Linked DNA regions of Mus musculus: region 1 is reported to be linked to region 2. The links are microRNA targets in miRTarBase. Many come from high-throughput screens and were not tested one by one. Region 2 holds a microRNA gene; the other region holds the end of a gene's coding sequence. Distances are between the middles of the regions.
The links. Region 2 holds the annotated microRNA mmu-miR-490-3p (CAACCUGGAGGACUCCAUGCUG, at 2,849-2,870, shown strand). A microRNA usually pairs through its seed, bases 2 to 8, with sites in the 3' UTR of a target mRNA and lowers its output. Matches are read on the target gene's strand: a 7mer-m8 pairs with bases 2 to 8, a 7mer-A1 pairs with bases 2 to 7 and ends in A, and an 8mer does both.

Region 1: the mRNA of Nanog is a reported target of mmu-miR-490-3p. Seed matches in the 3' UTR shown: 7mer-m8 at 11,049-11,055.

Annotation. Positions count from the first base shown.
Region 1 is chr6:122,707,311-122,724,647 of GRCm38, reverse strand. Nanog (Nanog homeobox) reads right to left here and starts at 17,083. Exons shown (of 4, transcript NM_028016.3): 1 at 16,715-17,083; 2 at 12,845-13,110; 3 at 11,933-12,019; 4 at 10,015-11,506. The coding sequence starts at 16,865. The coding sequence ends at 11,093. RefSeq lists promoters at 16,943-17,133, 17,049-17,275, 16,938-17,337, 17,006-17,337, 16,869-17,337, cis regulatory regions at 17,192-17,199, 17,285-17,290 and an enhancer at 17,210-17,247.
Region 2 is chr6:36,418,952-36,430,593 of GRCm38, forward strand. It overlaps Mir490 (microRNA 490), which reads left to right and starts at 2,791; the gene lies at 2,791-2,874. All of the region lies in intron 2 of Chrm2 (cholinergic receptor, muscarinic 2, cardiac), which reads left to right.

The DNA of each region.
Region 1 (17,337 bases), 86 Mb from region 2:
ATATAAACTGACTCTGGACAGTGCCCATGGCTGCAGCCTCCAGCTCCCACATCTGAGCTGTGTCCCTGATTGGTCAGTCTTGGGGTATGCATTCAATAAACCATCCCTGTCTAACTGAGCTTGGTGTTTGTAGCTTGGTGTTTGGGTGACTCCTAGACCCTAACAAAACAAAGAGAACAGAACAATAGTTCCTCTACGTTTACAGCCAAAGCAAGAAGGAAAAAGCCAAGTTGGGGGTATTAAATGGCATCATTGATCTAAGGATTGTTTAAAAAAAAAAAACAGGACTGGAGAGATGTCTCAGTGGAAAAGAGCACTTCCTAAATTCAATTCCCAACAAGGTATGGTGACTCACAACCATCTATAATAGGATCTGATGACCTCTTCTGATGCATAGGTGTACATGCAGACAGAGTACTCATATACAAAAATAAATCTTTTTTTTTTTTTTTAAATCTGCGTCAAAGGTTTGTGACTTCCTACTTCAAAACTTGGGTAATGTGCCCTCCATTTCTGGATTGTGGTTCATTCCAGATGTAATCAAGCTGGCAACCAGGAATAGCCATCACATCATGCAACAAAGCACAATGTTTGAGAGTCAGGACCTTGGGCAGTTCTCCGGCCCTTTAAATAAAAGTATACATTGTTCCCACACTGAAACATACAGGGATTACTTTAAGATCAATCATCACAAGAGAAGAAAGGCTTCCGGAGTTTAGCCTTCTGGTGCTTAGCAGAGAGGTGGACCTTCTTATAAGTGGTTGCTGGGAAACTGTGCTGATTATAGACATGCAGCAGAAGAAATCTAATATCCTCATAAATCCAGAAGCAGGAGCCTTCGGAAGAACAGAGTCACACTAACATCTATAAAGAGGTGATGTTTGCCCAAGGGACTTAAACATTAACCATCTTTGCTGCTAATTGCATTTTTATCTTAATATCTGAATCAGAACTGTTTTCATTATGAGTGACTTATTTCCTCACAGTGAAAAGATTTACCACTGGACTCAGCTGTGTGTGGATAATGAGTGCTTTTTGTCTCGTTAGTGATTATTCTTGTCTTGTCTTTTCTTTTCTATGTGTGTGTGCGTGTGTGTGTGTGTGTGTGTGTGTGTGTGTGTGTGTGTGTATTTTATGTATCACAAGTTGGCCTCAAATTAGATATGCAGCAAAGAATACCTTTGAACCTTTGATTTTTCTGTTTCTATATCCCAAATGGCCTTACAGGTTACAGGACCAGTATTTTATATATCATATGTGTGTATGCATATGTATATTATATATATGATATATATATAATGTTTATATGTATATATATATATAACATATATATACACACATATGTATTTTACACATATACATATATGTATACATACATACATACACACATACATACATGCTGGCATGCAGGCAAAATACTCATACACAGAAAATAAAAATGATTTTTTTATTTAAGGACTGATTTTTTTTTCCTTCTCCATTTTTTATTAGGTATTTAGCTCATTTACATTTCCAATGCTATACCAAAAGTCCCCCATACCCACCCACCCCCCTTCCCCTACCCACCCACTCCCCCTTTTTGGCCCTGGCGTTCCCCTGTACTGGGGCATATAAAGTTTGCAAGTCCAATGGGCCTCTCTTTCCAGTGATGGCCGACTAGGCCATCTTTTGATACATATGCAGCTAGAGTCAAGAGCTCCGGGGTACTGGTTAGTTCATAATGTTGATCCACCTATAGGGTTGCAGATCCCTTTAGCTCCTTGGGTACTTTCTCTAGCTCCTCCATTGGGAGCCCTGTGATCCATCCATTAGCTGATTGTGAGCATACACTTCTGTGTTTGCTAGGCCCCGGCATAGTCTCACAAGAGACAGCTACATCTGGGTCCTTTCGATAAAATCTTGCTAGTGTATGCAATGGTGTCAGCGTTTGGATGCTGATTATGGGGTGGATCCTTGGATATGGCAGTCTCTACATGGACCATCCTTTCATCTCAGCTCCAAACTTTGTCTCTGTAACTCCTTCCAAGGGTGTTTTGTTCCCACTTCTAAGGAGGGGCATAGTGTCCACACTTCAGTTTTCATTTTTCTTGAGTTTCATGTGTTTAGGAAATTGTATCTTATATCTTGGGTATCCTAGGTTTTGGGCTAATATCCACTTATCAGTGAGTACATATTGTGTGAGTTCCTTTGTGAGTGTGTTACCTCACTGAGGATGATGCCCTCCAGGTCCATCCATTTGGCTAGGAATTTCATAAATTCATTCTTTTTAATAGCTGAGTAGTACTCCATTGTGTAGATGTACCACATTTTCTGTATCCATTCCTCTGTTGAGGGGCATCTGAGTTCTTTCCAGCTTCTGGCTATTATAAATAAGGCTGCTATGAACATAGTGGAGCATGTGTCCTTCTTACCAGTTGGGGCATCTTCTGGATATATGCCCAGGAGAGGTATTGCTGGATCCTCCGGTAGTAATATGTCCAATTTTCTGAGGAACCGCCAGACTGATTTCCAGAGTGGTTGTACAAGCCTGCAATCCCACCAACAATGGAGGAGTGTTCCTCTTTCTCCACATCCACGCCAGCATCTGCTGTCACCTGAATTTTTGATCTTAGCCATTCTGACTGGTGTGAGGTGGAATCTCAGGGTTGTTTTGATTTGCATTTCCCTGATGATTAAGGATGTTGAACATTTTTTCAGGTGCTTCTCTGCCATTCGGTATTCCTCAGGTGAGAATTCTTTGTTCAGTTCTGAGCCCCATTTTTTAATGGGGTTATTTGATTTTCTGAAGTCCACCTTCTTGAGTTCTTTATATATGTTGGATATTAGTCCCCTATCTGATTTAGGATAGGTAAAGATCCTTTCCCAATCTGTTGGTGGTCTTTTTGTCTTAATGACGGTGTCTTTTGCCTTGCAGAAACTTTGGAGTTTCATTAGGTCCCATTTGTCAATTCTCGATCTTACAGCACAAGCCATTGCTGTTCTGTTCAGGAATTTTTCCCCTGTGCCCATATCTTCAAGGCTTTTCCCCACTTTCTCCTCTATAAGTTTCAGTGTCTCTGGTTTTATGTGAAGTTCCTTGATCCACTTAGATTTGACCTTAGTACAAAGAGATAAGTATGGATCGATTCGCATTCTTCTACATGATAACAACCAGTTGTGCCAGCACCAATTGTTGAAAATGCTGTCTTTCTGGGCTGGTGAGATGGCTCAGTGGGTAAGAGCACCCGACTGCTCTTCCGAAGGTCCGAAGTTCAAATCCCAGCAACCACATGGTGGCTCACAACCATCCGTAACGAGATCTGACGCCCTCTTCTGGAGTGTCTGAAGACAGCTACAGTGTACTTACTTATAATAAATAAATAAATCTAAAAAAAATGTTGTTTAAAAAAAAAAAAAAAAAAAAAAAGAAAGACCAAAAAAAAAAAAAAAAAGAAAATGCTGTCTTTCTTCCACTGGATGGTTTTAGCTCCCTTGTCGAAGATCAAGTGACCATAGGTGTGTGGGTTCATTTCTGGGTCTTCAATTCTATTCCATTGGTCTACTTGTCTGTCTCTATACCAGTACCATGCAGTTTTTATCACAATTGCTCTTTAGTAAAGCTTTAGGTCAGACATGGTGATTCCACCAGAGGTTCTTTTATCCTTGAGAAGAGTTTTTGCTATCCTAGGTTTTTTGTTATTCCAGATGAATTTGCAAATTGCTCCTTCTAATCGTTGAAGAATTGATTTGGAATTTTGATGGGGATTGCATTGAATCTGTAGATTGCTTTTGGCAAGATAGCCATTTTTACAATGTTGATCCTGCCAATCTATGAGCATGGGAGATCTTTCCATCTTCTGAGATCTTCTTTAATTTCTTTCTTCAGAGATTTTATCATACAGATCTTTCACTTCCTTAGTTAGAGTCACGCTGATTTTTTTTAAAGATTTATTTATTATTATATGTAAGTACACTGTAGCTGGCTTCAGACACACCAGAAGAGGGCGTCAGATCTCATTACAGATGGTTGTAAGCCACCATGTGGTTGCTGGGATTTGAACTCAGGACCTTTGGAGGAGCAGTCAGTGCTCTTACCCTCTGAGCCATCTCGCCAGCCCCTGATTCTTTTATTTTTGAGACAGGGTTTCTCTGTATAGCTCTGCCTGTCCTGGGACTCATTTTGTAAACCAGGCTGGCCTCGAACTCAGAACCTGCCTCTACCTCCTGAGTGCTGGGATTAAAGGCGTGCGCCACCACGCCCAGCTGTGATTCTTTTTCTGTTAAGCTTTTCATCCCTTTCTCCTCTTTGAGCTCTATCTGAGTCTTGAGAAGACCCTTTAGTTCACCAAGTATGTCTTCCTAGCCCACCCTTGTCACTGATTGCCACCTGAAACCACATGTAGTTGAGGAATTTGTGGGTATCTCTCCTCCTCTTATCAGCCATGAAGTTAAACTGGAAGACAATTTAGAGACTGGTGAGTCCAATGCCACAGGGGACCGGTAGGGGGAGCTGCTATCCTCCAGTAAGTTTAAGATTCCTTCTGTGGCTCTGCCCAAAGCCAGACAGTCTAGTCTGGTTTAGGATCCAGATTTCAGGATTGGAGGTATAGTTTCAGGGGCGAGAGAGCATATGTGGGGCCCTGGGTTCCAGACCCAATTGTGCAATAGGAACTTAAGTTAATTTCACCTTTAAAACTGTTCATGTAAGCCAAGGACAGTGGCTAACACCTGTAGTCTTGGCTACTGGAAGGACTGAGCCAGAAGGCTCCCTTGAGCTCAGACATAAAGGACCAACCAAGGGAATATAATGAGGCCCCATTACTTTTCTCTTTGAAGTACATCGGCATTTAATGATAATATCTTGTTGTTGTTTATTTTGTTTTAAGACAAGGTCTCACTATGGAGGCCTGTATGGCCTGAGATTCTCCTGCCTCAGGTTCCTATAAGTGCTGGGTTTAAAAGCATGTGTCACCACATGCCCAGAAATAAATTTTTGTTTGTTTGTTTGGTTGGTTGGTTGGTTTGGTTTGGTTTGGTTTTCAAGACAGGGTTTCTCTGTGTAACCCTGGCTGTCCTGGAACTCACTTTGTAGAACAGGCTGGCCTCAAGCCTATGTCTATCTCCCAAGTACTGGGATTAAAGGCATGAGCCAACACCACCCAACATCTAAGATATTTTAACATAAGCATAAAGCCTGTGGGTTAAGGGACAGATTTGCTCAGGAGAGAGTGATGCCCACGCCCACTGAGAATGAGTGTGGGCTTACAAAGACCCCAGGTCAACCAGGTTTCATAGTGTAAGCCTCTAATCTTAGCACTCAGGAAGCAGAGGCAGGAAGATCTCTGTGAGTTCGAGGGCAGCCTGGTCTACAGAGTCCAAGAGGATTCTTGTAGAGGGGTCCAAGTTCAGTTCTCAGCACCCAAGTCCATTGGCTCACAAACACTTACAAATCCAGCTCCAGAGATCTGATGTTGCCTCTATACAGATGGCATTCACATATACACACACAGTAATGATAATAATAATGATGATGTAAATATTTTTTAAAAAGCAAGACAGTATCTAAAGTCCAAGAATTTAATCATTCATTATTTTGTTCCCATGAAAATGTGCACCAGGCCCAGCCTAAGCTCAGCCAGTTTTGTGGGGAGTTTGTTTACTTTAATTAAATTAATTTATTTAGGCAAATCCTAAAAAAAAAAAAAAAAAGAGAGAGAGAAAAACTAAACGTTAGACTCAATCATACTTCTCTTAATCTATCCATGGTTGATTTAACAGACACTTTAGGTGGCCTTGGAATAGGCCTTTAATCCCAGCACTAGACAGGCAGAGGCTGGCATATCTCTGTGAGTTTAAGGCCAGCCTAGTCTACACAATGAGGTCCAGGAGAGACAAAAGCAACGAAAATAACAAGGAGAAAAGAGGAAATCCAGGTAGCTAATCAGGACATTGATTAATGATGGTTGCTGTATTTGAGGAGTTTCTGTTAGTGATTACATTTTTTTGTAAAGATTTATTTATTATTATATGTAAGTACACTGTAACTGTCTTCAGACACCCCAGAAGAGGGCATCAGATCTCATTACGGATGGTTGTGAGCCACCATGTAGTTGCTGGAATTTGAACTCAGGACCTTCAGAAGAGCAGTTAGTGCTCTTATCTGCTGAGCCATCTCTCCAGCCTGTGATTGCATTTATTTACTTTGGGAAGTCAGGGAGAGGTGTATGCTATGGCCTGTGTGCAGAGGTCAGAGGGCAGGTCTGTGGAGTGTTTCCTCTCTGTCCATCTTGTGGACCCAAGAGATTGGATGCAAGCCAACAAGCTAGGCTTGTGGCAAGCCCTTCTACCCACTGAGGCATCTTGTGGGCCCAGTCTTGGGTTTTATTGTTGTTGTTTTTGAGGCAGTATCTCACCATGCAGCCTTGGTTAGCCTGAAATTCACTATACAGAGCAGGTAGGCCTTGAACTCACTGGCATTTGCTTACCTGCTTCTGTCTCCTTAGCGCTGGGACTACTGGGACTACAGATGCTGCTACGATGCCTGTCCAAAGATTAAGGTCTTTCTTTCTTTCTTTCTTTCTTTCTTTCTTTCTTTCTTTCTTTCTTTCTTTCTTTCTTCCTTCCTTTTCTGTTTTTCTCAGCTTAAAGCAACAAAAGCTATAAAATATTACACAAAATTAAAAGAGACAATCAGGAGATGGCTCAGTGGTTAAGAGCACTGACTGCTTTTCCTAAGGTCCTGAGTTCAATTCCCAGAAACCACATGGGGGCTCACAACCACCTGTAATGAGATCTGAAGACAGCTACAGTGTACTTACATATAATAAATAAATAAAATCTTTAATAAATAAATAAATTGTGAAAGAGAGAGAGAGAGAATCACTCTTTTACTCTGTTACTATCTCCCCCTAAGCCCCAGCTACCCTTTTTAGTGATACAGCTGGAGATGGTTTATTAGGAAAATAAAAATATTTAGTGAGCTTCAAAGACACTCCAAAGCCTGTGTTTACCACCATTTTTTTGTAGGTAGTTTTTCCTGTAATTTATGTTATTTAGCAATTAACTGTATGTGTGTGTGTGTGTGTGTGTGTGTGTGTGTGTGTGTGTGTGTGTGTGTGTGTGTTAGTTGTTTGAGTATCGGTTACATGTAGATGTGTACAGGTGCCTAAGCAAGCCAGAGAGGCACAGCAACCCCTGGACCCAGAGTTACAAGGGGTGTGAAGCCAACTGCCCTGGCTGCAGGGGACTGAGCGCAATTCCTCTGGAAGAGCAGAGGGTGCTTTTAACTGCTGAGCCATTCCTCCAGCCCCTAAATTATTTATTTTTTTTAAAGATTTATTTATTTATTATATGTAAGTACACTGTAGCTGTCTTCAGACACTCCAGAAGAGGGCGTCAGATCTTGTTACAGATGGTTGTGAGCCACCATGTGGTTGCTGGGATTTGAACTCAGGACCTTCGGAAGAACAGTTGGGTGCTCTTACCCACTGAGCCATCTCACCAGCCCCAAATTATTTATTTTTAATTTACGATAATAAGTCACCTTCAGAGCTTGACACAGTCATGAAAAAGAAAAAAAGAAAGAAAGAAAGAAAGAAAGAAAGAAAGAAAGAAAGAAAGAAAGAAAGAAAGAAAGAAAGAAAGAGGAAAGGTGTGAATCCAACTGAAGGATTCATCCCTCCCTCCCCCATAGACTGGCTGAGCATCAAGTTAACCTGATAAGAGAGAAACTGAAATGAAAACTCATCCACAAGCCAGCCTGTCTTTCCCCACTTTTCTTTCCTTAGAAACTCTTGCTTTCTCTGTCTCTCATCCCAAAAGAAGGGTGTTACTCCAGTTTATGTCTGAGTATACAAAGTTAAATCTACCTTGATTTTCTGTTTTTTGTTTTTGTTTTTGTTTTGTTTTGTTTTGTTTTGTTTTGTTTTTCTGAGAAAGGATTTCTCTGTATAGCCCTGGCTGTCCTGGAACTCACTTTGTAGACCAGGCTGGCCTCGAACTCAGAAATCTGCTTGCCTCTGCCTCCCAAGTGCTGGCTGGGATTAAAGGCGTGCGTTACCACGCCGGGCGATTTTCTGGTTTTTATTGTCCTTTTCTTTTTGAACCCAAGGGAGCAAATGTCAATCCCAAAGTTGGGAGAAGGAAGACCACTAACGCAAACCATCGTGGCCAAATTAATCCAACCAAGCTTGTTTTACTCATGTGCATGGGCTGGCCAGTTCCTGCTGTTCCTCTAAGTAAAACCTGCTTTAATCAGGCAGTCTTGGAATTGGTTTCTTCCTCAGGTCTAACACGGAGCACCCTGGATCAAATTTGCCTGGGTCTTCGGAATTGGACAGTGCAAACTACAAGCTCAGAAGCACAGACCTTCTCTGCCATTGAATTCCAAGGGCTGGCTTCTCTGGGTAAAGGAAAAGGTTAATTCTGTTGTGAATAAACCCAGTCGGCAGAAAACCTGGTGACAGTGGAGAGAAAACAGGTCCTGGTGGGGAACTACAAAGAGAAAGCGGACAGTTGCCAGACAGAGGAGGGAGAGGAGCCCGAGCAGGGGAAAAAGGAGGATTTGTTAAATAAAGAAGTCAGCTGGGGTCCTGCAACAGCTTGGGACTCAGATGTCAGTTGACTAAGGCATTTGAATAGGTCCCTTGGTGGGAGCCTGAAGCAAAAAGCCTCTGAAAGCTGCAGCTGGGGAGGCCTCTTGAACTAGCCCCACTCCTGGGTGATTGGTGGAATCTCTTCCACCCTAAAAAGGGTAAAATCAAAGCTCGGATTCTCACACCAAGGACTGAGTGTTGTTCAGTAGTAGAGCACTTACCCAGGGTCTAAGAGTCCCTGGATTTGATCCCCAAGACCACACATTTTAGAATCTTATCAACGAAACCTCTAAGAGTTGAAGCAAAGTGGTCTCTCAGTAACGGTCGTCAGGGTTTGTGGAGGTGATGATGTCCCATCTCTGACACAGCAGCCATCCCCACTGATGCCAAAGGACAGAAAGCAGAAGAGGAGAATTCTAGGTGGAATTAGTCTGGGCTTTGCAAGGGAATGTGTCCTAGCCTCTGTGGCACAATGAGGGACAATTTTTCTCACTGCCAAAACAGCCCTCTCCTTAGCTGAGGAGCAGCTACAGAACCTACTTGGGCTGGGCTGGGTACCCCTGTGAGTGGTCAGGAGTTAAAGATGTGATTGACAGGTATGGCTATTTACGCACGGCAGTTACTAGGTGTCGCTTGCTTCTTCTGTGTTTTTCCGTATCATGCTTTAGCTAAATCTACTGTATACAACTACTATAACATCTATAATTAATGCATCAGGAGTTACGTTAACTTAATCTCCTTAAGTGTACACACAACTACACCAGATGTATACGTATCTTCTGTCTTTTCAGCAAATTTAAATCGTCTCCAAAACCCCAAACTCACTTCTGAACCCACACAGCCTCTCAAGTCTCCTGTGATAACACTTGACATCTTCCCCCACCCCCACGTAGGTTAGGGGGTTATGCTCAGGGAAGATAGCCTCCATCTGGAGCCAGGAAGTCCCAGATTAATCTCCAGTGTGACACAAAAACAAGAGACTGTGGTCCCTCCTCTTTCCCAGAAGCACTAGGTGTGTGACCTCAGGGGCTCTCTCCACAAGTTCTATTATTTCACAGGAATAAAAACCACTCTCCCAGTTAAATATTTGTTCTTCCAGAGAACTAGAGCTTATTTCCCTGCAGCCTGCCACATCAGGTGATCAGGTGGCTTCACGTAACTTCATCTCCAGGGGATCATCGAATGCTTCTGGCCTCCTCAGGGCCCATACCCACACTAAAACATTCATTTCTTATTCATTGCTCTCCAGTTCTTGACTGGATGCATTGTGAGTGGCTGGCCTCCTGCTCTGGTTACCAGGCCATTCCAACTGTTGTGGTATAACCCTCCCAACCGGTTAAGCCAAAAGAAACCCATTTTCCTGGACCCTCGGTTAAGACCCTCCCCTTCACATACCAAAATAAAAAGTATATTGACCCCACTGGACAAAAGATAAGACCACTAAAGGTAAAATTAGTGTTTTATTTTGTTTAAACTAGTCCAGCTGGCATCGGTTCATCATGGTACAGTCAAATATAAACATCTTTCTACAGATATTAACATAGCAGTTACTCTTGGGGGACTCCAAGGACAAGCAAGCACCTTAATAGGTGAAAGCTTTTATTTTGTTGAGACTTTAGTTTTATTATTTTATCGAGATGCTGTCTTACTATTTAAACATAGTACAGGTTGGCCTTGAACTTATTGCATATCTGAGCTACCCTCAAACTCCTGGTCCTTCTGTCTCATCCTCGAGAGTAGCCACCATATCGTTATACTTTGTATATACTTTTAAACCTCACCCCTCAAAATGACACAGTGTATACCAAGACCCACGCTTCTAAGAAAAAAGACTAGCATGGGTGGGTGGGCGTGGGTAAGGGTGTTCAAGCACTTATTCTTGGGAAGGAGAGAGTATATGCACCTCACTGTCTCCAAAGCCTAGAGTTAACACTAAAAAAAGGACAAATTCAGAACTAAGACAAATACACTAACACACCAAGTTGTAAATAGAGCTCAGAAGTTGAGTTGGTGCCCAGCATGTTCTAAGTCCTAGGTTTGCTCTGGCACCAATAAAAATAGAAATAGAAATAAACAATATATATGCCAGGTGTGGTGGTATGCCACCTTTGGTCCCAGCATTCAGGAGGCAAAGATAAGTGGGCAGATCTCTGAGTTCAAGGCCAGGCTGGTCTGCAGAGCTAGTTCAAAGACAATTAGAGCTATGCAGAGAAACCCTGTCTTGATAAACAAAAAGCAAATAATAATTAAAAAAATAAACCAGGGGCTGGTGAGATGGCTCAGTGGATAAGAGCACCCGACTGCTCTTCCGAAGGTCAGGAGTTCAAATCCCAGCAACCACATGGTGGCTCACAACCATACGTAACAAGATCTGACGCCCTCTTCTGGAGTGTCTGAAGACAGCTACAGTGTACTTACATATAATGAATAAATAAATCTTTAAAAAAAATATGAAAATATTTGGAAGAAGGAAGGAACCTGGCTTTGCCCTGACTTTAAGCCCAGATGTTGCGTAAGTCTCATATTTCACCTGGTGGAGTCACAGAGTAGTTCAGGAATAATTCCAAGGCTTGTGGGGTGCTAAAATGCGCATGGCTTTCCCTAGTGGCTTCCAAATTCACCTCCAAATCACTGGCAGAGAAGTTTTGCTGCAACTGTACGTAAGGCTGCAGAAAGTCCTCCCCGAAGTTATGGAGCGGAGCAGCATTCCAAGGCTGGCCGTTCCAGGACTGAGCGGTCCAGGCCTGGCTGCTCCAAGTTGGGTTGGTCCAGGTCTGGTTGTTCCAAGTTGGGTTGGTCCAGGTCTGGCTGCTCCAAGTTGGGTTGGTCCAAGTCTGGCTGCCCCACATGGAAAGGCTTCCAGATGCGTTCACCAGATAGCCCTGGGGATAGCTGCAATGGATGCTGGGATACTCCACTGGTGCTGAGCCCTTCTGAAAGAGGTGATTAATGCAATGAGTGAAAAGGGGACTCTAAAGATGTAAACTGCAGAAATACTGAAAAGATTAGCATGGCCGCACAGGCCGTTAACCCCAGCACTCCTGAGACTAGGCAGGCAGATCTCTGACTGCCAGGGCTACATAGAGAGAGCCTGCCTCAAAGAACCAAAGATCACAAGAAAGAGTGCGTGGAGGAAGAGGGATGGGAAAGGGACAGGACTAATGGACATAGATGGATCAGGATGACACTGGGAAGCAAAGGCAGAGCCACTGACTGCTCTTACAGGAAATCTGGGATCCATACCCAACAGCCATAGGTCAGCCACACACACACACACACACACACACACGGCACAGACACATAAAATAAGATGGTAAGATGGAGGGGGAAAAAGGAAAGCAGAGAAAACATCTTGTTACCTGAATCAGACCATTGCTAGTCTTCAACCACTGGTTTTTCTGCCACCGCTTGCACTTCATCCTTTGGTTTTGAAACCAGGTCTTAACCTGCAGAGTGACAGGACATTCGAACAAGCTAAGACATACAGAATGCAGACAGGTCTACAGCCCGACCTTAAACATGACAGCCAGGCCTGTAAAGTGAAACTCTTTCTTGAAAAAGACAGGTGCTGGGGGAAATGGCTCTTCTGTTAAGAGCACTGGCTGCTCTTCCAGAGGACCTGGGTTCAATTCTCAGCGGCCACATGGCAGCTCACGACTGTCTGTAACTCTAGTCCAGGAGATCTGATACTCTCACAAAGACAAACACATGCAGGCAAAACACCAATGAACTAAAGGAATTTAAAAATAAACAATCTTAAAAAAGAAAAGAAAGGAAAAAAGCCAGGCACACCTTTATTTCCAGCACCCAGGAGACAGAGGCAGGTGAACCTCTCCCAGCCTGGTCTACAGAGACCAGTCAGGGCTACAGTGAGACCCTGATTTGGGGATGGGTGTGGGAGGTGAAGTAGAAGATAAAGTAACCAATGAAACAAACTGGGAAATATATAAATCACATAATTGGGGCTGGAGAGATGGCTCAGCGGTTAAGAGCACTGACTGCTCTTCCGAAGGTCCTGAGTTCAAATCCCAGCAACCACATGGTGGCTCACAACCATCCGTAATGAGATCTGATGCCCTCTTCTGGTGTATCTGAAGACAGCTATAGTGTACTTATACATAATCAATCAATCAATCAATCACATAATTATGATTTTAACAGGCGCATAGGATAGGAGGATAGGATAGTTAGAGAGACGTCCAGACGTTAGTTCGATTCATTAGCAAGTCAGTCTCATTGTGTTACATTACAGCAACTTCTAAGGACCCCACCTGCTTATAGCTCAGGTTCAGAATGGAGGAGAGTTCTTGCATCTGCTGGAGGCTGAGGTACTTCTGCTTCTGAAACCTGTCCTTGAGTGCACACAGCTGGGCCTGAGAGAACACAGTCCGCATCTTCTGCTTCCTGGCAAGGACCTTGTTCTCCTCCTCCTCAGGGCCCTTGTCAGCCTCAGGACTTGAGAGCTTTTGTTTGGGACTGGTAGAAGAATCAGGGCTGCCTTGAAGAGGCAGGTCTTCAGAGGAAGGGCGAGGAGAGGCTGTTAGAAATAAATAGATAACTTGTTAATAAATAAGACATTCTCAGCCTGGCATGGTGGTACATACCTTTAGTCCCAGCACTTGGGACACTCAAGCAGGCAGATTATGGGTTTAAGTCCAGTCAGTTCACGGGGTGGGGTGGGGGTTATGGCTCAGCGGTTAAGAGCACTGACTGCTCTTCCGAAGGTCCTGAGTTCAAATCCCAGCAACCACATGGTGGCTCACAACCATCCGTAATGAGATCTGATGCCCTCTTCTGGTGTGTCTGAAGACAGCTACAGTGTACTTACATATAATAAATAAATTTTAAAAAGGCCAGTCAGTTTTACAAAGTAAATTCCAGGATGGCCAGGGCTACACAGAGAAACCCTGACCAAAAAAACAAAAACAAAACCAACCAAACAAATAAATCATTTTCCCAGATAATTAAATGTTACATTTAATATATTTACTTACTTTCTTTCTTTCTTTCTTTCTTTCTTTCTTTCTTTCTTTCTTTCTTTTTTTTTTTTTTTTTTCTTTTTTTTTGGTTTTTTCGAGACAGGGTTTCTCTGTATAGCCCTGGCTGTCCTGGAGCTCACTTTGTAGACCAGGCTGGCCTCGAACTCAGAAATGCGCCTGCCTCTGCCTCCCAAGTGCTGGGATTAAACGCCCGGCTATATTTACTTTCAAAGCAATTATCTTCATAGATCTAAGTAACAAGAAAAACCTAATTTTTGGAAAGTATTCTTGGAATACTTTGTCACCCCTGGGTAACACCATTTTGCATAGATCTCCCTTTTATAGTGTTTTTTTTTTTTTTTTTTTTTTTTTTAAGAATGTTTCTACTTAGGGGGCTGGAGAGATGGCTCAGCGGTTAAGGTTAAGAGTGCAGACTGCTCTTCCGAAGGTCCTGAGTTCAATTCCCAGCAACCACATGGGATTAATTAATTAAAAAAAAAAAAGAATGTCTCTGCTAAATATTTATTTATTATTATATGTAAGTACACTGTAGCTGTCTTCAGACACACCAGAAGAGGGCATCAGATCTCATTACGGATGGTTGTGAGCCACCATGTGGTTGCTGGGATTTGAACTCAGGACTTTGGGAAGGGCAGTCAGTGCTTTTACCTGTTGAGCCATCTCACCAGCCCTACATACAGTGTTTTTAAGTTTCATTAGTTATTTAAATTATACAATTAGACCCTGGGAATCCTATTTAAAAAAAAAAAAAGACAACTAACCAAACAATACTCAGTTCAATGGCAGGATGAAGACAGGTTTGAGTTTGTAGTCTGCTCTTTCCAATCCCTTCTCCCTGCTCCCTCTTCATTAGAACCGTGACCGCATCTACACTGTAAACCTCTGATCCTGACAGTGGGTAGCACAAATCTAAAGCCCCCCTGCTCCAGTAGCTGAGATGGGAGAATTTGAGATCAGCCCGTCTCAACAAATAGAGACAGACAGACAAGACAGCACAAGAGCTTAGGCAGCAGAGGATCTAGTCTATGTTTGTGGTTTTCTTTTCTTTCTAAGGGATAGGGTCTCAGGTAGCCAAGGCTGGCCTGCTCTCTGGGTCCTACCTCTCTACCTTCTGAGTGGAGGTTTATCCAAAGACTCAGGTTTGGGGGGACTTTTATCTCGCCTAGATTTTTGCATGGTGCTGGGTGAATAGAATCCTGTTGGGACCTTTCATACTCTACTACCACTGAGTCAGCTATATCTATACATACATACATATATACATACATACATACATACATACATACACACACACACACACACACACACATTAACATTTAGGGATGAACTAATATTTATGAACAAAAAATGTCATGACGAAATCCATTATACTGAATGTTATCTAAGGAAATTTCCAGGGTTAAATCACTTGTTGTTAGGAATGCACAGTCCTGAGTTTAGACACCCCCCACCCCCAATTTTTTTTTAAAGGTATATTTTAAAATGATCCCACTGGGGCTGGTGAGATGGCTCAGTGGGTAAGAGCATCCAACGGCTCAGTGGGTAAGAGCACCCAACTGCTCTTCCGAAGGTCTGGAGTTCAAATCCCAGCAACCATATGGTGGCTCACAACCATCTGTAACAAGATCTGACGCCCTCTTCTGGAGTGTCTGAAGACAACTACAGTGTACTTACATATAATAAATAAATCTTTAAAAAAATAAATAAATAAAAATATCCCACCATCTTTTCTGCTAGTACAAGAGCAGCCAGTCAGAGGGTCCAGTTAATTATTAATTACTAGAGTAAAATTTCGGTTAACCAAATTCGTTTCTCTTATCCTTGACCCTCTAGCTCTTCGGTTAGCTTTTTTGTTTTTTTCCAGGGCCTTCAGCAAGAGACAAGTGCTCCTCCACCAAGCTTTGCCCCAACATTTCCTAGATCCAGCAGCAGGTAGAAGACACCTCCTACACTGAAGACATCTGTGCTCCACGCTGATGGCAATGCTGAGGTTAGCCTGCAGTCTAGCAAATAAGTAGACAGCCCTGAAAGCAGCTTCTAAATGGAAAATTATGCCATCTGCTGGCACTAGGGGCACGCACTACAAACACACATGCTCTACACACATGCTCTAAAAACACACATCACTTACAAAGGCTATCCCCACCCGTTCATTCCTAACCCAGCACTTTTCCCACCTCCAAAATCAAAAATTGAGGGAGGCAGAGGCAGAGGCAGGCGGATTTCTGAGTTTGAGGCCAGCCTGGTCTACAAAGTGAGTTCCAGGACAGCCAGGGCTACACAGAGAAACCCTGTCTCGAAAAAACAAAAAAAAACAAACAAAAAAAAAATCAAAAATTGAACCCATAAATCAGAAAAATCAAGATGACAGACATTAACTTAAAAGCTCAGAAAAAAGGGGACACACACTTCCTAGCGCTCCACACACCCAAGCACCGCTGCACACACCCGAGCATCACTGCACACACCCGAGCATCGCTGCACACACCCGAGCATCACAACACGCACCTGAGCACCGTGGCACACACAGCCTAGCAGCCTCTTGGTTCTACCATTTACAAGCCTGAGTACTGGGCTGACTCTGTACAGACAATGAGCTTCAGACCTTGGCTCCAGATGCTAGCTATAAGAATGAATGACTTAAACTGTGTACACTTGTTTGGGGTTTGGAAGGAGCACTGAGCTCACAAACCCAGAACTGCTAAGTGACATCCATATTCCCAAAGGTTGAGAGAAATGCTAACTGCTTCTGCTGGAGAAAACGGCCATTTGGGCAAATTGCAAACTAACTGTATAACCTCACCAAAAAAATGGGGTGCTCATTCCAAGCTAGGATGTTAGGTCTCCCTGCTACTGAAGACACCACTCACTGCCCCCGAACATATTCCAAAGAGCCCAAATATTTAGGTTCTCAAATACACACAAGAGCCTTATATTGCTCCGTCCTGTGTCCCGGATCTCTATTTCAGACTAGAAGGCCAACGTATCACCGGTCAAACTCAGAGGGGTTTCCAGAAGAGTGATAAGGACACCCGCTTATGTTAATGACTACTACGGTTCATAAAGAAGCAATAACCCTTCAGCCCGTTTTTTCTACTCTTACCCTAATTTACTGGGTTCTTCGGGGACTGAATTCCTTACCAGCCTCTGTGCAGAGCATCTCAGTAGCAGACCCTTGTAAGCAAGAATAGTTCTCGGGATGAAAAACTGCAGGCATTGATGAGGCGTTCCCAGAATTCGATGCTTCCTCAGAACTAGGCAAACTGTGGGGACCAGGAAGACCCACACTCATGTCAGTGTGATGGCGAGGGAAGGGATTTCTGAAAAGGTTTTAGGCAACAACCAAAAAACTCAGTGTCTAGAAGGAAAGATCATAGAAAGAAGAGTTAAATGTCTAATGCAAAATTATCAAGAAGTCAGAAGGAAGTGAGCCGCAGCCTTCCCACAGAAAGAGCAAGACACCAACCAAATCAGCCTATCTGAAGGCCAACGGCTCAAGGCGATAGATTTAAAGGGTAGGTCCTGCTCCTCCCCCCTCAAGCCTCCTACCCTACCCACCCCCTATTCTCCCAGGCACCCAGGCGGCACCCACGCCCCACCAGCCCTGTGAATTCACAGTTAATCCCACCTGCAGGGTCCACCATGGACATTGTAATGCAAAAGAAGCTGTAAGGTGACCCAGACTGGGAGGGAGGGAAAGCTTAGGGGGCATCCTCTGATCTAAAGACATCCCCCCCCCCCAAAAAGAGGCTTTACCTCATTTC
Region 2 (11,642 bases):
CTGCTCCCAGGGTGATAAATTCCTCCAACATATCTAGTTTTTTATTAGGGGTGGGGACACTGTCCCTCCTAGATTGTATAAAACAGATTGAACTCTGAGCAGTAGCAACTACCATATGGTGTCACTAGGAACCCATGGAGGACCTGAATGATATTGGCTCAAAGGTCTGTAGAAATTGTCAGCTGCAGACCATCTCAGCACAGCAATATTTTATTTTGTATTTTTTTCTTTTGTTTTGTTACCCTGGGAGTTAACCCCTGGGCCTCATGCATGCCAGGGGAGCAAACTATTGCTCATTACAACACGTTGTACTTTAATTAGTGGGTGGATAACAATTCACAAGTTATATAAACAGATACAATATTCCTGATTTATGTATAACAATGTAACTTTCAAATACAAGAACAAAATTTATAAGAACAGTGTTTTTAATTGTTTCTTTCACAAACTAGCGGATTGCCTTTTACGGTGTAAAGTGTGACTCAATAACTCAGTGCCCTTGGAAAGAGAGAAACTGAGAATCCCTCTTTGAAGATCTAGACATAGCTGAAAATCATGCCACATATCTGTTACCTCAGTACTAAGGCAGAAAAAAAATTGCAATTTTGCATGCGTAGTCAAGACCAGATAAGGAGACCCTGTCTCATCTTTTTTGAACTCACAAGGATTTGAATAAATTTAACAATAGCTTCTCTTGTCCTCTGGGTTCTTACAACAGAGATGATATCGTGGGTTTGCACCTGTGTTCAGATGTAAGTGCACTGAAGCACTTCAGGATCACAGACTCTCAAGGACAGGTTTCCATTGTCACTGTGACTTTGCCTTCCAAAATGATTTGAACACAGACCCACTAAATACAATTCAAAAGACAAATAAATAGTGACTTTGTGCAAGATGCACTCAGGCATTTAGCACTTAGCATGTGTGGTCTGTCCTACTGTGAATCAAACAGACCAGCAGCTGCTCAAATAGGCTGTGACAGTGTGATACAGGGATCAATGGCCTTCAGATCTCGCCTGCCCTGTCACCCGGTCCCTGCTGTCATATTTCCTTTATCTTTTACTTGCTATCTTTAGCAACACACAAGTACTTTTCCATTGTTAAAAGAATCCAACTCTCTAGCTTTTACTTAGCTTCATTCATTAAATTTAGTTTACTAATAATTATTACTCCATGCAGCTTCACATGTTTACAAAGAACTTGTATACACTGTGCACTCTATGTGCCACACGGAAAACCGTTTTCATCTTTCCACTTAATACTTGAAGAAATATGGTCTTGGAGACAAAATTACTTGCTGAGATGCAGCTAGTGTTAATTTCTAGCGAATCAATATGTAACTTAAGTCCACATACCCAGAGATAGGAGTGTCCTAATCCATTATGCAATCATACAGAGAAGTGTGGATGGTTCTAACCATTCCACAAATAAAGAGTTCTTTGTCTCTTCAGCCTCCCTTTCTTGGATCATTGGTGTTCTCTCTCTCTCTCTCTCTCTCTCTCTCTCTCTCTCTCTCCCTCCCTCCCTCCCTCCCTCCCTCCCTCCCTCCCTCTCTCTCTCTCTCTCTCTCTCTCTCTCTCTCTCTCTCTCTCTCTGTGTGTGTGTGTGTGTGTGTGTGTCTCCTATCCCATTGAAACCTAGTCTCAGCTCAAATAGAAAACAAACATTTAGCACTTTATATTCATACTATAATATGTATATCATTCTTTAAAACTTTTTAATCTACACCCAGCATTTGCTACCTGTATTCTACTCATCTGTCTGTCTGTCTGTCTACTCATTCAGTTGCCAATTATTAAAATCATCAGAAGCATTGTCAGAATTAAAATTTGATGTAAGTTTCAGAAGAGTTTGGACTTAAAAAGTGAGTTTGGCACCAGTGAAAATTTAATTTGTAATGTTTTTAAAGAATATGTACATTTTATGTTTGTCTTAGTTCTTAGTTGAAAAACTGATATTCATCTATAATTTTATGCATTTAAATATCAGGCCAGAAGGTATATGGATAATAAACATAACCTTCTCTACTCAAAACAGGTGCTCCCCCCCCTCCCACTGCTACCTCCTCCCCCACACCCAAGCCTTGGTCTAGCCTAGGGACTCTGGCTGTATTTGGAGAAACTACTAATGCAGGGCACAGAAGATGCCACTGTACCCTTCTGTGTGTAGTAAACAGATGTGATTGAGGAAGACAGTAGAAGACACCAAAGACCCACCAAATGTGTAGCCCAGTAGCACTAGTTGAAAACACAAGAGTCGTGTTGCTTATTTGGGGTGCCGTTTAGGACAACCTGGAATGAGGACAGGCCACAATTCAATAAGGTTATTGCAAGACGGTGAGGCCACAAGTCTAGGACAGCTTTTCACTTGAACGTAAAGATACCCATGCTCAATTGCTCAGGTATAGACAACAACAGTCAGAGGACTCAGCACTGAAATATGGAGTTTCACTGCAACTTGGAACGTCTCGTAAGCGGTTTGATGCATTTGTTGTATAGCAGCTATACGGAATAAAATGTATACTCTCCAGGTTCTTAGGATATGGCTGACACTACTTGCAAATGTTTACTGGTTCCCTTGATTACTCTACTTTGTTAAAGCAAAAGTGTACATGCCCGGGTTTATTATTTTGGGATAGTCAGAAACTTAGACAACATTCTAGAAATGGAGGGTGATGATAAAAGAGGCAATGATGAGAACGGCTCGGGGATCGATAGGTGCGGGATGCGGGTTCTTCGAGCATCGCTGGTGAAGAGGAACGCTCCACACTTTATGGAAGCCTGGCTGATTTGGAAAGTTCATTGTTCGACACCATGGATCTCCAGGTGGGTCACGTTTAGATATACACCAACCTGGAGGACTCCATGCTGTTGAGCTGTTCACAAGCAGCGGAACTTCTAACTCCATCTCCCAGGAAGTAAACTGGAGGAGTCTTTTGTAGTGTTATGCAATCTCCAACACCAGGGAACCCTGCTATTCATTTTCAGAAATGGAGGCAAAGCTCACATTTCTGCATCAAAACCACGTATTATTTTGTGGAATTGGTTAACCTACTGTCACAAGATAGTCTTTTAGGACACAAGTGTAAAATGGTGATCTTTTCAAAAGCCAGTCAAAACTGAGAAAAGTATAATTACAATCTCAATTGGGAATTTCAATTATGTCTCAAATGAATTCTAGTAATGGTGAGTCTGATACCTAAAGAAGCTATTTTCTAAAACTTAAAGTTATTAAATATCAGAAGATAATGTAGCAGCAAGCTATTTTCTACTAATGAAAAATGGATTTTGTTTCATAATGAATACATATCAATTTTGTATTTCAATATATTTTAGAATGTTTTTCCTGGATGCTTTATAATACAGTAGTTCCCTCTTCTTTGTGTCAAACACAGTCTAAGACAATTCAATGATTCCTAAAACCCCAGATAATATTAAACACTGCTTTCCTATTTATGAATATTAATGGCAAAGTTCAGTCTACAAATAATTGATCCACAACAAAAACTAATAATAAAATAGAATAAGTATAGCATAGTGGCAGACCACATTTAAGAAAAATCCTTACTTAAAAATTGGAAATTATTTCTGGAATTTTTCATTTAATATTTTCAGAAGATGGTTATCTGCAAAGCTTGGAAGTTTTGAAAATGAAACTATGAATGAGTGGGAAATACTGTAATATTCAGTTAGATTAAAACAGTTATCCTGATGCAGTTTCATGAGATTCGCACCTTTCTCTCAACAGTGCGTTGCATTGGGGTTTTCTTTAAGGTAGGTGTCCTATATGATCTTAAGCAACTGATTTTTATGAAATGTTTTAGTCTTACCGCATTCAGATATATCATGTCTGTGGTTTTCTGTTGGGACTGTTATGTTGGTATCATATTGATAAAATACGGTAGCAACAATTGTTGTGATGTTACTTTTAATAAATTGTTGAATTCTACTTGCTGATATTTTGCTAAAGCTTCATGTACAAACTAAGTTAAAGGTTTTTATATTAAATTTTGAGTAATATTAGCCCATACTTCTGTAAAAGTCTCACTGAGTATATGAAATTAATCACTGCCTCCCTCTTAGTAGCATTAGAGAGTTTATACACACTGCAAATGAGCACTGCACTAATGCTCCAATGGCTCTACCTCTGAATGTTTTCATAAACAAGGAGCAACTATTGCCTAGGAATTTTTTACTGTTTGGCTGGGAAGATCACTTAGTCATTAAAGCACTTGCTACCCAAACATGAGAACCTGAGTTTGGGGCCCCAGGACCCACATAAGAGCCAGGTAAATGTAGTGAGTCCCCTGGATTTCAGTCTGAGAAGGCAGACACAGAGATTCCCCAGAGAAAACTGGCAGGTGAGACCTGTCCTGTCAGCAAGCAATTGGTTTGAGAGACCCAGCCTCAAAGAATGAGGTTAAAGAAATATCAAGGAGGATTAGTGATATCATCCTCTGGCTTGCACACCCACACCCATAGGCTCGCATCCCTGTACACGTGTGTCTACATAAGCATATCTATGCACATGAAAAGAAAAAAATTTAAATCTTTTTAGTAGTATCTTCTTAAACAATTTTAATATTAATATTTTATAGATATTTTGGAAGACTATAGATTTTGTGTTGATTATCCATGTAATAAAAACACAATTTTATCAGATAATTATACCCATGATTATACAAATTATTTCCTGAATTGTCTACTTTTCACCCCTCATTTTGTTTTGTTCATCAAATACTGATAAGTTTTTATATGATATAAAATCATAAAAATGCATTACTTTTGCCTTTATTTTTATAAGTGCCTAAAGATATTTATTTCTTAATTTAATTTCATCAGTTGGTAACCACCCCCCTCTCCTTACCTTCCTTTTGTCCTTCCTTCTCCTGACTATCCTCTCCTTCTGTTTTTCTTTGTTTTTAATCTTTATTTCATGGTATTTAGAACATTAGAGCTATGATTTATTTTTTATAGTCTCTGGTCTTATTTAAAACGCAGAGTAGCTAATTAAACTACTTGTTTGCAGTTAAACAGATGATAGTCAGGAGACTACCTCACTACAATTCTTCACCTGCAATTTATAGTGAAATATTTACCTTACAGTTATTTGTGAAGTTAATGCGATAATATACGTGTAGTTATATAGTATGACAACAAAGTCAAACGTTCAACACAAGAAAAACTGCTTTTGTAAATTATAAGAGGGCTTTTGTTTCGGAAAAGTATTTGAACTTTAAAATCTGAAGTTCTTGGATTCTATTACTTCATTCTTTTAAATTTTTTTCTCATGTCAATTATATATTTTTAATTTTTTGCATTTTTTTTCGGAGAATGTACCTTTAAAATGTCTTTCTATTGGAAACTTCCCAAGTTTTCAGGACATAGACCACTGAAAATTGATTTCTTTGTAGAATGATACAGAGTAGCTTGCATATAGATAAACAAGTGTAAAGGCAGGCAAACATCCATGTTTTAATCTCATTCCTAAATCATTATATTATTCATTTCTCTTTCTGTTTGCCTCATGAAAGCCTCCTGATTTCTAGTTGTAGTCTCATTTCTAACACCTATTGTATTTTGGCCAAATATAATCAAATTCTATCTTTTAAAATATATTTTGAATTTGCCCATAGTTAATTATTAATTCTGTTCTCAATCTCATCTAGTCCACATCCCCGTAACATCAGTTTACCCAACAGTCATCTTATTGCCTGTTATGCCTCCCCTTTCAGCAACTCTGATTAATGTGTAAAAATACTTTTAAATTTTTGGGAACGATATGTTTTGATTGTATTTCTTTCCCCTATTTTTAATTTTTTGTTTTCTGGGCATTCTCTTCCTCCCTGAGTTTTTGTGTATTTCTCACTTTATTTTATACTTCCATTTTGAACTTGTCTTGTGATCTATTTCTTCCTCAGTGTCTTCTGCCTCTCTCAAATCAGTGGAGGACATTTACCATTTAAAAGCTCGGTTCCTAATTTTACAACAAAGATCTCTATTGCCTCATTTTATTTTTTGACAGTTATGAAAATGTGCATTGATGAGGTTTTTATTTAGTTTTTATTTCTCTTACACATAGTTTCAGACCTTTGCTAATATAATATGGTAATTTTGTCAAATTTTTACTGATTAACACTTCATTCATTCATTCATTCATTCATTCATGTGTGTAAACACTTGCTTTGATTAGTGTATTTTCCATTAGTTGCGTTGTAGGGCAACACGACTTATCACTCCTTGCCTCACTACTGTGATTACAAGTCTTTCTAGGAAAAAACCCATTTCTAAGTTCTTTCATTGTGACTCAACTTCTGGTAAGTGGTTTTAATACTTAGTTTTATTGAACTTGTTATTTCCTGAGCCAATGCCCATTTTTTGTCTTTAGCTGTCCTTCATATAATATGTCAGGTGACTATAACAATCTTGAGTTCGGTCTCTACCATCATGCCTATAAATATTTTTTTGGGTAGCAGATGGATCCGGATTCAGAAGCCTTAGTGCCTTGACTGACATGGTTCACCCCAAGAGAACATAAGAAGCCATCACTTACCCCACAGGTGCTCTTCTAAAATATCCTTAGCTTTTCACTTGAGCTGATGCTGGGGGCACCGAGAAGAACCAGTTCGAGGTACTCTAGCGTATTCATGAAGTGTTTTTGTTTCTGCATTTCACCCAAGCTCTGTATTCTTATATCTAGGAAAGAATAATTTTTAGCATAAAACTGAAAGTGATCCACTTTGCCTCTTCCAGAACTTTCATTTCTCCTGACTTTAAAAGCATTGTCAGGACCTATGAAAAGGGATACAGACCTCTGCACTCTTGGCCCAGGACTGCACTCCTCCATCTTCTGACTCTCTGTTCTTTCCTTCCATGGTGCTTCATCATCTCTTCTTCAGAATCATTTGTCTGACATCCTTGGCAATGTAGGAAAGGCTTTACCAAGTACCCTGTGAGTTCCCATCAGGTTACTAGCAGGAACGTAGTGAAACAACATTGTAGACGTAAAGCGTAATAAGCATCCAGTTATTCTTACATATGTAAATTATTTGCATTTACTCTTTTACTCAAATCTAAAAGTAAAAATGTATGATGGTACTTTAAGTCACCTGCCTTTTGGGAGACACATGAGCTGAGTCTTGCTAACTTCCAAACAAGCCACTTAGGAGAAGGACTATGCCTAGAATACATAGATGTATGAACTTATCAGAGTAGGGTACCATGGCGAAGGGAGTCACTCACATCTGGAAGGCGAGAAAGGAGAAACAGCTCTTTGATGTCTTTTGTATGTACACAAATATCTCCACACACACAAAGGATATTTAACAATAGCTAAGTCATGTCGAGTGCTTTTTAGCCAAGTTGATGGATTGCTTGCAGATAGGACTAGCAAAGGTGTCTAAGTAGGAGGAAAAGAGGACAGGCTATTTAAGCGATTTGAACAAAGCACAAATATGTCCCTATAATTATTTCACTATAATATCTAAAGTACTATCCAGTGCCTTACACGTAGTGACTTTTTTCTAAGTACTAAGCCGTTATTAATTACCTATTATTTTGATTTGCATAGTAAAATAGCAACATCCCATTGTGTACCTGACCTCGCTGCTTCCTTTTCATGTGAGAGTTCGAATAGAATCCATGTAATTATTGCTGTAATGAGATGATTTCTTTAATGGGATTTTCAATCACCCTTCAGAACTTTAAGGTCCTGATATGAAAGCATCCAGTGCTTTATTGTCTCGTTTAGTACACCTGTCACCATTTTAAGATGTGAGACTCTTTTCATTTCGAAATTCTCAGAATAAAGCCTCCCACATTTACTAAGGTAGGACATGAAAGGAAACATAATTGGAAGTGTGCAGATACTTTCAATTCTTCACATACCGCTCAGACATCATTGCCCTCACCCCTCAGCGACATGCTCAGATCTGGATTCCTTAGTGTTTCTCATCTCTGTGCATTAATGTATCATTGATGATGAGTATTTACTGTTCCTGATTGTAGCATTCTTAGGCTCGGTGGGCTAGTCAAAACTAGGGTGTATGTGTGTGTGTGTGTGTGTGTGTGTGTGTGAGAGAGAGAGAGAGAGACAGAGACAGAGACAGAGACAGAGACAGAGAGAGACAGAGACAGAGACAGAGACAGAGAGACAGAGAGAGAGACAGAGAGAAATAGAATTTGTTTCCAAATTAAGTCATCCAAAAAGCCACTCGATTTTCATTCAAAATGGTGTGTTTTGATTTTACTCATGACTCCATAATCTAGTTTTCACAATATTCTAATTCTGTTCCTGCACAGTAGAACAGATTTTGTGTGGTTTCTGTCACTTCTGGGGAAACCTGTATCTGTTTCTAGTCATTTACATTCCAATAGCCTTTATGTATGAGAAGAAAGAAAAAGCAATGTCTTGCAATGGAGTGATCTTAAGTTACACATTGTAAATTGTTTTACCTCAACTAAGAACTGGATTTCATTAATGCTCTGGATAAAAGTTGCTATCCCATTCCTTAATATATCATAGCCATTGATAAATATATCTAATTTATGTGATGTAATAATGTGCTATTTTCATAACTGATAACATCTTATACATATACTAAAATCCACAAACTATACATACCCATACATGTTTACATACATACATTCCATAAATATAAAATATGTCACTTGCTGCACATTTAGAAGTTGTCTATGTATTTTATAGGTTTATCATTTTATAACTATGATGTCATTATTCTTGATCCATACGTGATGGGATAGGATTGGAAAATGTAGTAAGTAATTTGTTTAAAGTTGTACAACCATTTCCCTTGGGGGCTGACTCACAGTCATGTTCTTCAGCTTCGTGCTGAATGAACTCTGATTTACACTCATCCACAGGCAATATCTTCCCATACACACAGGTTTACAGGAAGAAATAAGTGAGTGGAATAATTGTATTTGGTTGTAAAAATACTTGGCCGTTAGTTGTATAACTTAATGGTATCAAAACACCTCTGTTTAGTACATTATCCCTCTTTCAAAGCCATTGATATAACTTTTTTTTATCATATATCATTTATGCTTATTAGTTATTCTTTAGATTTTTTAAATACAATATAGTCTTATTAATGTATTTTTGAAAAGGTCTGTGGACTCTGACTAGATGAGACTCCACAAATGGTCAAGAGGTGAACTACAAAGATTTTCCATACTTTTAAACATATTGTACCTATATTAACATAGTTTTCCCTGTGAACAATACCTTCCAAAATACAAAGTTATAAAAAAACAGTTGGATAAGGGTGATTTCTTATCTTACTACAGAAATATCTTAGAATGTACAACTTTGTCTTTGCAATATAAATGTGATTAAAACATGAGCCTTAACTTCTACATAATCTTGAGGGAATATTTTTTATAGGAAGAGGAATGAGTTGACACTAAGAATTCAACACTAATTAAAAATTAAGACTAAAAGTTTCTAACTTTTCCTTCAATGATGCTATGCTTTTCTTTAAGCAAGCTGCATTTGCTTAAATGCAAATGGAATTTAACTTCTTAGAGGTTGACTTTTGTCTGCTCTTAAAGTATAGCTGAGTCAACAAATACTGAGTACCTATTAGAGTATTTTTTAGATTCTTTGCTGTAATTCCATCAACTTTGAGAAGTTTCCCAAGTGATTCTCTTACAATGATATTCAAATGCTAGAATTATTTTAATGGCTCCCCTGATAAGTTAGAAATATCCATATTTTTAAGTTAATTTTATTTTTTCAAATCAAATATAGTTGCATCATTTTTTTTCTTTCCACTCATCCCTTCAAACAACCCCCAGGTAGTATTCTCATCTTTGTTCTCTCTTACATCCATGGATCCTTTTTCTTTAGTTGTTGTTACATATATATTCTTAAATATCTAGATATAACCTGCTCAGTCCATGTATTTGTGTGTGTGTGTGTGTGTTATTTCAGGGCAGACAACTAGGACAATCAATTCAGAGTTCTTCCCCAACCATTTCACCCACTTCCAGCATTCCTTAGTTATCTATAGTAATTGGTCTAGGGATGGGACCACCATGATATTTCCCCCTCCGATGTTAACACATCTCCTATTGTTGTCCTTGTTTACATCTTGTTTAGGCTGCCATGTTGTTGAGATTTCATATATACACCTTCCCTGTCATTTCTAGGAAATGCAATCTCACAGAAGACTTCTTGTTCTTCTCCTATAATCTTTTGACCCTCTATTATCTGATATTTTCTGAGCCTCTGGTGTAGGGGTTGTGTTGTAATATAATGTATCCTTTGGTGTATGAGTTCTTCTGTAATGTAATATGTAATTTGGGACTGCTTTATCACACAGTTGCTGGTAATTTAATATATCCACATTAATAAGAAGAAATGTACAAGCATTGTTCACTAATTTTCAATGACACCCAAGAATGTGTTTCATAGAAGAACAAAATAAGATTTTGAGACTACAAATTTGCTCCCTGTCCTGAGCAAACTCTGACCCTTTTTCTTAGTCCATTTCTTTCATAGCACTACAGCCTTATCAGATCTATCACTCTCCTATTTGTGCATGGAAAGGTCGTTTTGTCTCCAGTGAATGGACAGTAGAAATACCTTTGGGCCCAGAATTTCTGATTCTTGGACAACTTATTAGATGTAATATTTTTGCTACACTATTGAAATTTATTATGAAACAGTAACTGAAGCCCATAGTTAATCATTAACACTAATTCTTAAGCTGCTACTTAACTTTAAACAAATGCAATGTTGTTACTTGACAAAATTAAATTATGTTTTAGAATCATCTTCTTGAAATGATGTGATAATATCACCTGTCTTGGGGGGATGTACACTGAGATAATCTTGATAGTTTCCTGTAAGACTTATAACATGTCACAATAAATGATGATGTGTCAATAGAGTTATTTACTTCCTTACATAGATGAGAAATGATGGAGAAATCCCAAAATCTGCTACTCAGAAAATAAATTCATCAAGTCATGTATTTATGTTCATCTACTGACAAATATTTAGCTCAATGAGTGTTCAATATCTACCTAAAGGTGTCTATAATATAAAGCAGATTAGTCTATTAAATTTTATAATAAAGTATTTGAACATGCTCTTTGTGGCTGGCATCTTTCTGATTGAAAAAATTTTAAGATAATAAAATAAATTGTGAGTTATCCCATTTGTTATTGAGGATAGTGGAATCCCAGCTTTATATCAGAAGAAGTTATTCAAGGGAATGCACTTTCTGAAGCAAAAGCGCTTTGGAGATCTCACCAAAGCAAGCTCTGTTTCTTGGAGTCTTGAAAGCACATTTCTTTGGTTGTTATGGAGATACATCTTATCAGCAGATGCCCTGGGCACATGCAGCTGAACTCTATCTCCCTCCAACGATATGGGATCAACAAGATCTCTTGAGAGAACACCTGAATGTCTGCTGGGGCTTCTCAGCTTTGCGACATTTCGTTGACATGCAATGCTGTGAAGTGGGTGTTCTCTTTTCAGGAAGAACAAAGTTGAAGTGTAGAGAAAGGATGAACATGCAGGAAGCAGAGCTTAAGATTCTGTCTCCCTTCTTTTTCTATTACAATGGAATGCTTTTCTGTTTCCATGTAGGAAATGTAATTGACAGCTCCACA